Linked DNA regions of Tamandua tetradactyla. The protein of the gene in region 2 purifies or fractionates together with the protein of the main gene of each other region. This does not show direct contact. Links are inferred from orthologs where the notes say so. Each region holds a gene or a part of one and is shown on either strand. Other genes may lie near its edges.

Region 1 (3,747 bases), on a different chromosome or scaffold from region 2:
GGAGCGTAACTGGTTGGGATTCTTCTGCTCCTAAAAGTATGACTTAAGCCAATTTTGTCAGGTTCTTCCTTTGTAAAATAATGCACAATATGCCAACACTGCTTTGAGACAATACATTCTAAATCAAGTGCCCTATAATGTGCTCTATTATCTACACCCTCAAAACACAGAGATAAGTCAGGCATTTTTCAGAGGCAAGGATTTCTGCTCTGACAGGCAAAAAAAAAAAAAAAAAAAAAAAAAGCGCCTTAGGAAGACTTAGGGGCTTCAAATCAAAGACGATTGGTCTAAGAGACTTATTCCCCCTCCCTGTAAAGTCTCTAAATCCCATGCATTCTCCATTTTAAGAAGTCCATCACCCATACTCAATCCTTGACACTGGGGACCCAACCAGTGGGAACAGAGCTGGGAGTTGAGCTAGCAACTCACCACGGTTACCATCCCCTTCACAAATGCCACCCTAGCCACAGGAGCTATGGATCTTAAGAAAAGATAAAACCTTCCAAACAAAGTGACCCATTTTCACCCATCCGGCCCTCCAAGTACAACAGGCCTTGGTTGGGCATATCATATCTTCAAGTCAACATAAACCCGTCTAAGTGACCTATTCACTAAGGATGTTAAAGTCCAACCCCAAAACCAATAGAAAGGCACCAGAGGTGAAGGAGTTGTCTCTCAAACCCACAGCTCTCCCTTTAATTATCCAACCCGGTTTTCTTTCTTTCTTTCTTTTTTTTTTTTTTGCATATAACCTTGTGTTCATCCCTCTTTACAGCTCCCTATCCTAAGCGGGTGTCTCACTACCCCCCACCCCCACCCTAAATCTATCACCCCCACTATAATCATCGCTGTCATCTGCTTGCTCGCGTGGACTCGCAAGGGCCACGGAACGGGTGAACGCGTCCCCGGGGCTCCCGGACGTGCCCCTCAATTCCCTCGGCCCCCGGAGCCCCTGCCCCAGGTGGTGAGGACGATACACCCCATCATTCACCGACTGCCCCGGGCTGGACACTGAGCTCGGCGCCCCAGGAGCCTTTCGGAACCCGGACCCCGAACTCTACAACTGTAGCGACAAGGCAGCCCGGGGGCGGACACGCGCGCGTTCCCGTCTTCCACGGCCGGGCGGGCGCACGCCGCGTACGACCCCGTTGACTGGCTGGCGCGCCCGGCGCTGAGCCAATGGGAGCGAGCCTTGTTGACAGGCGTGCGGCCGGCGGCGCGGGGGTCCGGGCGATCGGGCCGTTGCCGTGGAGACGCCGGGTGAGTCCCGGGACTGCGGCTGTGGGGGTGGCCCCGGGTTGGGAACGTGGCGCCGCGGGGCCAGGAGGCCGGAGCACGAGCCGGAGGGGTGGACTGCATGGGCTCGAGACCCGTGGGGACGCTGTGTGTGTGTGGGGCGGGTGGGGTCCCTGTGGCAGCCCCGGTGCCGCAGTCGGGGAAGCCAGTTTGGGTCCAGGCCTCCTGGCTGCCGCGGGGGCCTCTTTCTGGCTCTCCACCGCCGCCCTGGGTGCCTAGACCGGCCTCCGGCCTCGGGAGTGGGTCCCAGGGACGACGGCAGGACCCACCATTGAGGCGGCGTCCCGCGGTTGCAAAAGGCTAACCTTTTACTCCGCATCCTTTCGCTTCACTTTGCGGCAGCCCCCCGAGGTGAGTGCTGTTTGTTCATGTCGTTTCCAGGGTTGGAAACAGAGACCGAGGGAGGTGAAGTGACTTTCCAAGGTCACCTAGCCAACCCATGGGCCAGCCTGACTCCAGACTGAAAATCTTGACCGTTTTGCTGCACTGGTTTCCGGGGATGGAGTGGGGGATACCCTGGCTAGCATATTCCTGACGCCCCACTGATGTTGGCACATTGAGTTTGGGGAACCACTTAACTCTTCATGATATTACATCTGAAACTGGAAGGTCGAATTCCATGCAGCTAAGGTTCCTTCTGTTGGGACCCAGAACTGGGTTAGGACTGGAATGGCCTTAGAATTGCACTGGTCGGGGGTCTGCAAAGTTTGCTGTAAAGGACGAGCTAATAAATATTTTAGGCTTTGCAGGCCATAATCTGTTTACTCAATTCTAGCATTCGAAGTAGCCAAAGATAACCCACCCAAAGGAGTGGCTGTGCCCCAGTGCAATTTTATTTATGGGCATGAAAGTGTCAGATCATTTGCATCTGTCATTCACGTGTCTGCCATTTAGAAATGTAAAAGCCATTCTGTGCTGGTGGCTGCACAGGAACAGCTGGTGGGTTAGTTTGCAGACCTCTGGTCTGGTCCAAAGCCTCAAAAGGTAAAAGAAACACATCCAGAGAGGGGCATCTTATGCCAGGTCAGCTAGTCAGCCAGGCAGTGCCCCATGTGGGTTGGAGACCACTCAGCGTTAGGTGCTCCAACTGAAATGTTCTTTATCATGTCTTCTATAAGGCCATTGGGAACCTGCTAGGTTAAACCTGTGAATGTGCTACTCTGCGAAAATGCAGCTGCTGAACTGGAAGTCCAAGAAACGAACAGATAATTCCTTTCTCCTCTCCATTTGGTAGCTGCTGCTTATTAATTAATTAAGTTTTAAAGAGTTCAACTTTTTATTGAACACATGACACAAAGGGTTTAGTCCCAAAGACCAAAGCCCATGTCATCATCAGACTACAACGATTCTTCTTTCTCTGCTTCCATTTTCTTCTCCTCGGCTGGGCTTGCTGGGGAGAGTGGGCAAGAATCCCCGCTGGGGCAGCTTCACTAGCTCCTACGTAGCACACGAGGCTCCCCATACTGATCCTGGTCAGGGCCTTTACAAACAAGCTGGGCCAGAAGGGTTTGCCATTTGCACCCAATATTTATCTTTCGTCCCCTCTGTGATGGTGACCTTGTCGTGGCAGAGGATGGAAGGCTGAGTAGATGCCGGTGGGCCTGGAGGTGGAGCCCGTGGTGCCAGTCCCTGTAGGTGAGGGCCTCACCCCGATGCAGCCTCTGTTTCCTTGGAGAAACTGAGCACGTTAGTGGCTGTTGAGGAAAGGGACTTGCTTTTGGTTTGTAAGCTCCTCTTAGTGGATTTCTGGGGTCCCTGGTGTACATGGTCCGGGCCTCACATTTCTTACAGATGCTCAGTCAATAGTCTCAAATGATTATTTATTTGAAAACTTTTGATTTTCAACTAACTTTTGACTTAAAGAGAAGTTGCAACAATAATACAAGAGTTCCTTTATGTGCTTCACCCTGCTTGCCATAATGCTAACATCTTACATCATCTGGGTACAGTTGTCAAGAACAGGAAACCAACACTGATACACTGTTATTAAAAATGATAGCCCTAATTCAAATTTCAACAGTTTCCCCATTCGTGTTCCTTTTTTTTATTCCTGGATCTTAACCAGTAACCCATGTTGTATTTTGTTATTTCTGTTTCATCTCCTGTCCTCTGAAATGGGTGCTCAGTCTCTTCTTCTCTTTCTTGGCCTTGATGCTTTTAAAGAATACTGATAGTTGTTTTTGTCTAACGTTACCTTGGCTTAGGTTTGTCTGATATTTTCTCTTGAGTAGAATGAGGGTGTGCATTTTTGGACAGAATAACACAAAATGCAATGTTCTGTTCTCGGTGTTTCATCTCAAGGGGTTCATGATGGCAACATGTCTCACTGCTGGAGTTACTTGTTGAAGTTGGTGTCTGCAGGATTTCTGCCTTAGTGGAAATACTTTGGTAGGAAGTAAATTCTGGTTTTCCACAAACTTAAGCCCACTAACTTTAACATTTGGATCTCAT
Region 2 (3,747 bases):
TGCAAGGAGAAAGTGAACTCTATTAACTTATTTTTGGTAGGAATCAGTGACACCACCAGAATCAAATTTGGGGGAAGAACAAAAAAACAAGCTAGCCCTGATCTCACTTACCCAAACCCAACTCTTAACTTTGGTATATTTCCTTCTGCCCTGCCCCATAACCACTGGGATCCTATATATGTCCATTTGCCAATGAGACCAAAACAGAGCTGGACCCAATGTATACAACAGGCGCTCGATGTTGTCTGACTGAAGTCAATAATTGTCAGCAAAACCTGCATAAAGACTGGATTGGTGTTGAGTAGGAGAGAAAACATACCATGAGGTGAGCCCACTGAGGCTCCCTCAACGCTGTCCAGAGAAACTGAGGAATTAACTGAGGGCCAAAGTTAGAGAATCTGATAGAATCTACCAACGACATGATGACTGAAGCAGGGCCTACAAACTAGAATTTGTTGAAAAGGGTTTCAAGCAGAGATGTACTTTAACGATTTCAATTCTGAATATAGAATAGAATGAAATGTGGGACAAAGTCACACACACCTCCACATCTACAGTTTACAGGGCACAATTACGCCCCCCCACCCCAACACTGGGTACCTAACCTTATGGGCAACTTCAAGGGTAATCTGAGTGCATGTATCACGGTGTCTTTATACCCTAACGTTACGGTCTAAGCCACACCTAAGATGGACCTCTGTTATCCCTGAAAACAAAACTAAAACCAATAATATGGCTAAAGATGCATAAAAAATCATTATAGCTCAACTAGCTGGAGTGTCTGTTCCCCAGTTGTTTTTGTTTTAATCTAGCACCTCTAGCAGGCCTTTTCCTATTTACCTTTTGTCTTTGTTCATAGCTACAGAGATGAGCCTTGGCCTTGCCACAGCTCTGGGTCAGAACATCTGGTTTCTATGACTTATTCAACCAGTGTCCGCTGAATTTCTCAAGAGGGTGCAGGGAACACATCTAATGTATTAAATGGGGACCCACACCTTGGAAGCGTCCACTTCCAAATGCTGAGAAAGACAGCAGAAGGAGTCTGGAGCCCTTAGGAAATGGGACAGCTAACCAACTAGGAGTTGTACAGCTCATCGGATTTTCAGTTTGCTGGTACTGAGAGGTAACAAGACTGACAGATTTCTCCAGGATTTCAGAGAGGGCTTCTGTTTGGGAGGCAGGAAACGGATTCTGTGCTTTGTGGGAAGAAGGCTAGGAAGAGGCAGAAAGCAGGTTTGCAGGTCTAAGTCACCGACGGCCCTAGGGTGGAACGAGGGTCTGGGTTTCCAGGCCAGAACAGGATTTCCAATCTGAGCTTCTCTGAACAAAAGCTCTATCATCTGGCTGTAATTATACCAGTGCCCCCGTCTCTGTTTTGAGAATCATGATTTGGCAATAAATTCCCCGGCTGCTCATGTTTATGTGTCACCTCTAATCTTACCACTGGGATAAGAGCAAAGAGGAAGAGCCCTGCACTCAGAACTCAGAGACGCACCATGGTCCCAACACTCCCACAAACTGCCTTTGCTGTCACTTCAGAGGAGTCATTCCATGTCCCTCTACTAAGAAATTTAAAATCAGCTTGCTGACTTTGGCCTTTCCTGCCCTGATTCCATATGCAGATTAGAAAAAAAACAATAGGTAGGAGCTTCCTAGGAATTAGAGTATTGGATAAGGACCTCAGAATCATTTTTAATTCCAGGAGCACAATCGGCTGAATGAAACCTGATATCCTGCCATCTGGGAAGGCGAATCCCTTAAACTGGCGAATCCCTTAAACCGCTAGCTCCTTATAGCTCCTCCTGGCTTTAAAATGAAATCTTCCTCAGTGTCATTCTACACTTTATTTATTTATTTACACCCTGCCTTGCTCCAAAAGGGATTTAACTTAGCCGATTCTCTAGTCACACATAGACTCCTTAATTTGAAAAGAAGAAAATCCAGGGAGACTCACCTACTGGCTCATCCCAGGGCAAATGCATCTCAAACAGCATCAGCTACAAGCAAATCCCAGCAGCAAGCTTTATAGGCAAAGTGCCCACCAGCCACCCAGTGGTGCTCCTTAGTAGACCCCGCCTCCCGGGTTTACAGATTTTTCACCCCCTCAACTGCTGCTGCTTTTTGTTTAATCACCCGGAGAAGTTCTCTAAGGGGAGAATTTCCTCCTGAAAGCACCACTTGCCTGAGAGCTAGTTAAAAGGCTTCTTGGGTGACCTTAGCCATTCGGTTTTAGAATTTTACAGCCCTTTTCTTGAAAGGTCTTTGTAGACCTTTCAAGGTCTACAACTGCCCCTCTAGTGGAGGCCTTATCACCACCGTCTTTTTTCTGTGGGAGTCCTCCGAGCCACCCATTTTCTACGTAGAGACCCTCTCAGCCTCTGTTCTTTAACCTGCTCAGACCCTGTGGCAGTAGAAGCCAGAGCTGGCCTTGGGAGGTCTCCAGGGGGAGGTCGGGCTTGGCCGTCGGGGGTCCCCACGGGGCGGGTGAGGTAGGGGCTGGCGGTGGGGGATTTCCACGGGAACGTCGGGGTTGGCTTTGGGGGCTTCCCTCCAGGGAGACTGGGGTTGGCCGGGAGGGGGTTGGTAGGGGGAATGGGTTCTTCACCGGGACGTCGGTGGTCTACCAAGGAGTGATCCTTGGGGGCCTCTTGACGGGAAGTGCGGGTCAGCCCGGCCGGGGGGGGGGGAGGCCCTACACAGGCCCAGCCTCACCGTCCGCCAGGGCCTCACTGCACTCGAAACTGATCTCGAACCGGAATGGGGTGTGGAAAGGACTCGGGTTCTCCAACACCGCCACATTCAGCACCGACACCTTGGCCATCGTCGGGCCGGGGCCGGGCCGCGTCCGTGTCCGCCGGGGTCAAGAGCGCAGCCCTCCCACGGACACCTCCTCAACCTCCTTAAGCCGACTGAAGTGCGCGCTTCATCCGCGCGCCGCCTTCAAATAGCCGGCCCCGCCCTCCGGCCAATCACCGCTAACGCTCCCCGGCGGCGCGAGCCCGCCCTCGGCCAATCCTGGAACTCCAGTCGGCGCGCGCTGCGATTCCCTAGACCAATCAGCGGAACTCCCTCCCCGGCGTGCGCGTCGCGGGGCGGGACCACCTTTTGGCTCCTGAGGATGTTAACCCAACCCCCCCAGTGGGGAACCAATCCCCAGCGTCTCCGATGCGGACGTTAAGGGCGGAGATGGGCGGAGTCAGCGCGCGGGGCTCCCGCTGACCAATCCCAAGGGTTCCAGCACAGGCGTGGTGGGCGTTCTCGTCGCCCCGTCCTTCCGGGGCACGCAGCCCGTGGAGGGCATCGCCACCAACTGCCAAGCGGGGGCGCGCGACACTCGCTGAAGAGAGCGGAAAGGGCGGTGCTCGCTTCCGTGGTGACTGACAGACGGGAGAGGGTGAGAAAAAAAACAAAAACGAAAGCTTGCTTTCTAAGAGATGATTGGTTGGCTTGACTGCGGTAGGCGGGAGGAGAAAGCTCGTCTCGTGATTGGCGAGATAGGACCGGAAGTCGGTTGCGTCGGTCGTGAGGGGAGACGAGGAGGCGCGCGGCCACCTCGGCTTCGTCTGCGGGTGAGCGTTGCCGGGAGCCTCTGTGAGGAGCTCCAGGCTCCTCAGGCCCAGCGGCCGAGGGTTCCGTGGTGAATATGGTGAACGCTGACAGGCCCCCGGGGGAGGCGGAGCGGCGCCCGGCTTGAATCCCGTTGTCGCCCCTTCGGGGCCCGCCGCCCGGGGAGCGGCTTCTAATAGA
Region 3 (3,747 bases), on a different chromosome or scaffold from region 2:
GCCCTCAAAATTTTTTTTCCCTTGTGACTTCTCCTGTTTCTTCCATGCTTAAAATGTACTTCTCCAACCAGATCTCACATAAGAATTTATCTACACAGTCTTTTATATACTTTTCACATTTAACTATTTAACCCAAGTGGAATATATTATGCTATAAGCTATGGCGTGAGGTCCTAACTTGATTCTTCCCAGTATCAATCACTAAATAATCCCTCTTATCCCTGCCAATTTGGCATACATCATCTAGTAAAATCCCATGTTTCTTATGGTCTATTACTGAAATCCATCCTGCTGTATGAATGTAGTAGTTAAGATTTTTTTTAACTAATACCATACTGTTTTGAAGTTATACGGAATATTTTAAAATCTTGAACTGAAAGCTCTTATCACTCTTTAAAAATACCACTACCACTCCAGCCTACTTATTATTTCAGAACTTTAGAAACATTTTGTTGAGTTCTCCCAAAGGGGCTGTCAGTTTTTATTGTAACTGAATCATAAGTGAGAGTTGTCAAGAAGATGCTATTTCTCATATATATCTCTTATAAATCCATATATGTATATGCATTTGTATATATCCAATACTTATTTTCCATTATGACACAAAACCTGGGACATACTGATTCACAAGGTTGTCAAATTACATCTCAGTTGAAAGGAAAAGTTTAAAGGTCCCTTCTAATAGAGCAGACAAATACTCTAAGAAGAGAATCAAGTTAATCAATGGGATGCAAGAAGGTCATTCCGGGAGTGGCAACCAGGCAAATGCTAGTGTCCCTGTCCAGTAAGAGATTTTAAAATGTAGCCTTATCTTGGTCTGTTTTACACATCGTAACTTCAACCCACCTAAACTTCAACCACTTCTTCGTTGAAGCCTGAGAAGCCAATGGTATAGAAACAGAATTAGAGGATAAAGCAAATCAAAGATATAGCAGATTAAGACTCATGGGTTAGATTTTGGGTGAAGTTTTGTAATCATCATACTGTATTATTGTTTTTTATTAGGCCATCTGAAACATTCAAGAGAACTGGACATTAATGAGTGTTGTGAGATTTACAATTTTAATTTGAGATGCTTAAGAAAATATAATTAAGTGTGAAAGTGTTTGCACTTTTTTTTTTGAGTGGGCAGGCACCGGGAATCAGGTCTCCTCCAGCATGCCAGGCAAAAATTCTGCCACTATACCACCATTGCCTGCCCTGTACTTTCTTTCAAAAAGAACCAGATTTCCATTTATAAGTTTATTAGACTTAATGACAATTGCTTAAGTCCTCAGAAACATTTATGTTAGGTTTCTAAGTTTACTTTTTTAGACGTCTGAAGTATCTACAAGAATCAAGCATCTAAAATTTTAATTACAGAGTAATATGCTAAAGAAAATTGAACTTTGTAAAAAGAGTTATTTAGGGAAATTTGATATGTTAAACTGGTTTCTTACTTGAACTTTTGTCAAAGATCAAGTATTTTTATTTAAAAAGTCCTGTTATTTATAAATAATACAAAATGAGTAAAATTCTATCTGCAAAATCATCCCTCTTAAAAAACCTCAACTGAAATTAAACAAGAATGGCACTTTCATCTATTTCCTCACGCCTCCTTTTGTATCTCAGATTATTCCCAGGAGCTTTTCGTTGTTGTCATTGTAAACAGAACCCATTAACCAGAAAACTGAACTTTGTCGATTTTGCAGTTAGTTTTTCTTAACTCTAATTTTACTGGTTTTCCTCGACTATTCATTTCTTCAAAATATGCAATTCTATCATCCCGGGAAATGAGTAGTTTGTCTTCCCCTTCCTGAAAAATTATATTTCTTATTTTTTGTTTCATGCCTTATTGCATTGGCTAAAACTTCCAGGCTAACATAAGACAAATATTCTTAGCCATGATTATAACCTTAATGGCAATGCTTCTAGAGCCTGCATGACAGTAATTTAAAAGGCATCTATCTCTTTTATCAAGTTATTAAATATCCTTCAATTCTTCAAATTATAAGACTTTGTAAATTACGAATGCGTTTAATTTTATCAGACTGTTTCCTGGAATCCTAAATACGCTTTAAATAACCAGTTTACCTTTAAAACAAAACAATAAATGACACTTCCTGAAACTGGCTCACGGTACTTCAGAGAAACTGATCTAAGAAACCCGGCGTTGAGGCCAACTCAGCAAGCTAAAATAAAAACCCACTTACCAAGTCTGGATATGACAAAACACATACGCGAAATGCGCGCGTGGACCTCGCACCTTTTCCAGGAAATCGCTAACTCCGGAAAACTCCGGTTCTAAATCAAGCGCTAAAATCACTCCTCGGAGTCTGAAACCGGGACTGGGAGCTTTTCGAAAATTCTATTTGTTTCTACCAGGTACCCTGGAGTTTGGGCAGGCGCTGTGCCGAACTGCCACTGAGAGTCTCCCTTTAACGGTTTAACTTTCATGCGTCGACACCACGCTTGGCATCTGACTCCCTGTGGGCACAACCGCCTGATCCCAACTTCTTCCAAAGTGTCAAACTACAACGAGGCTTACGTGAGCGTCCGGTCCGTACACGGACACGCACCTTCGTCCCCCGCGCCGGCGCAGGCTACGGCCCCGCGGGCCGCACGCGTCCCCCCGCGGCTGTCCTCATGCCGGCCAGGGGCCCCAAGCGGCGGCGCGGCTAGCGGCCGGCTTCCGAGGCATGGCTCCCGGCGGGCGGCCGGCCGGCGCTGCGGCCCATGACCGGGTCCACGCGCGCCCGGGACAGCCGCGTCGGCCGTGCCGCGAGCCGGCCAAGAAGAAAGCGCAGAAGTGCCGCCTCGAGGTCCGCGGAGCAACTCGGGGGGCGGCGGAGCAGGCTGCCAGCGGGCGCCCCGGGAGAACTTGCTGCGCCGGACCCGCACCCGAACCGCTGGCCGCGCGAAAGTCGGCCGCGAGAGCGCGCCAAGGCACCCGGACGGCGGCGGGACGGACCCCCTCGCCCGCAAACAAGCGCGGCGTTCGGAGCCCCCGGGAGCTCGGGGCGCGGAGACGAGGGGGGACCCGGGCTGAGGCCAAGCAGAGCCCACCGGTCGCGGGACCCTTGGCTCCGGTTTCCAGGCCGCGCCGAGGTCCGTCAGGGGAGCTCCCGGGTGCAGCGACGAGGCCGGCCGGCGCCTCAGGCTCGGGAATGGCCCCGGGGCCCGCGCGGAACTAACGGCCGAAACGGAAGCGCCGAAGGGGGGAGGGGGCTGGAGTCCAGGGCCCCGGGAGGCGGGGCGGGCCTCAAGGCCGGCTCCCTCACGCGCTCGGCCAGCCGCACGTCGTCGCTTCCGCCGCTGCCTCAGACCGCGGGCGCTTCGTTGTCACGAGCCGAGGAGGTGGGGCGGGGGGGAAGGCGGGGAAGGAGCCGGGAGTCTAGGGTCTTCGGCTAGCGGAGACCGCGGCGCCCGAATCACGTGCCGCTCGACCGGCTAATGAGAGATAGAGGGCGCAGTGACGTCAGAGCAGCGGCGTGGCCGATGACAGCCGGCCCTCATCACGTGGTCCTCCTCACTCCAATGGGCGGTGTCGAGGCGACCTGATGTTCCCGGCGGCCTGTGCGGCGGTGGTGGTTGGGTGGTAAGATGGCGGCTGTGAGTCTGCGGCTCGGCGACTTGGTATGGTGAGTCCGGGCGGCCGGGGGCAAGCGAGGTGCTGGGGTGCTGCTCTCTGGGTACGGGGTTCACAGTCAGCCCCGGAGCTGCCCTTCTCTGCGCTTTAGGCGGCGAAGAGAGGGGAAAACTAAGTGC

The links.
Region 1: the proteins of ASF1B (region 2) and CABIN1 purify together in Homo sapiens (affinity purification with mass spectrometry; 3 studies listed by BioGRID and IntAct, counting the BioPlex papers as one, with this or other methods). This does not show direct contact. The link is inferred for Tamandua tetradactyla from reciprocal best matches to the Homo sapiens genes ASF1B and CABIN1.
Region 3: the proteins of ASF1B (region 2) and UBN1 purify together in Homo sapiens (affinity purification with mass spectrometry; 3 studies listed by BioGRID and IntAct, counting the BioPlex papers as one, with this or other methods). This does not show direct contact. The link is inferred for Tamandua tetradactyla from reciprocal best matches to the Homo sapiens genes ASF1B and UBN1.

The regions. Positions count from the first base shown.
Region 1 is NC_135331.1:25,631,733-25,635,479, reverse strand, and holds the start of CABIN1 (calcineurin-binding protein cabin-1), read left to right. Parts: upstream 1-1,189; 5' UTR 1,190-1,260; intron 1,261-1,269; exon of another isoform or gene 1,270-1,647; intron 1,648-3,747. UniProt on the Homo sapiens protein: May be required for replication-independent chromatin assembly. May serve as a negative regulator of T-cell receptor (TCR) signaling via inhibition of calcineurin. Inhibition of activated calcineurin is dependent on both PKC and calcium signals.
Region 2 is NC_135337.1:88,728,681-88,732,427, reverse strand, and holds the start of ASF1B (histone chaperone ASF1B), read right to left. Parts: upstream 2,949-3,747; 5' UTR 2,822-2,948; coding exon 2,713-2,821; intron 2,693-2,712; exon of another isoform or gene 1,955-2,692; intron 1-1,954. UniProt on the Homo sapiens protein: Histone chaperone that facilitates histone deposition and histone exchange and removal during nucleosome assembly and disassembly. Cooperates with chromatin assembly factor 1 (CAF-1) to promote replication-dependent chromatin assembly.
Region 3 is NC_135349.1:52,237,647-52,241,393, forward strand, and holds the start of UBN1 (ubinuclein-1), read right to left. Parts: upstream 2,652-3,747; 5' UTR 2,559-2,651; exon of another isoform or gene 2,528-2,558; intron 2,497-2,527; exon of another isoform or gene 2,193-2,496; intron 1-2,192. Other genes in the region: GLYR1 (cytokine-like nuclear factor N-PAC), read left to right, coding at 3,583-3,620. UniProt on the Homo sapiens protein: Acts as a novel regulator of senescence. Involved in the formation of senescence-associated heterochromatin foci (SAHF), which represses expression of proliferation-promoting genes. Binds to proliferation-promoting genes.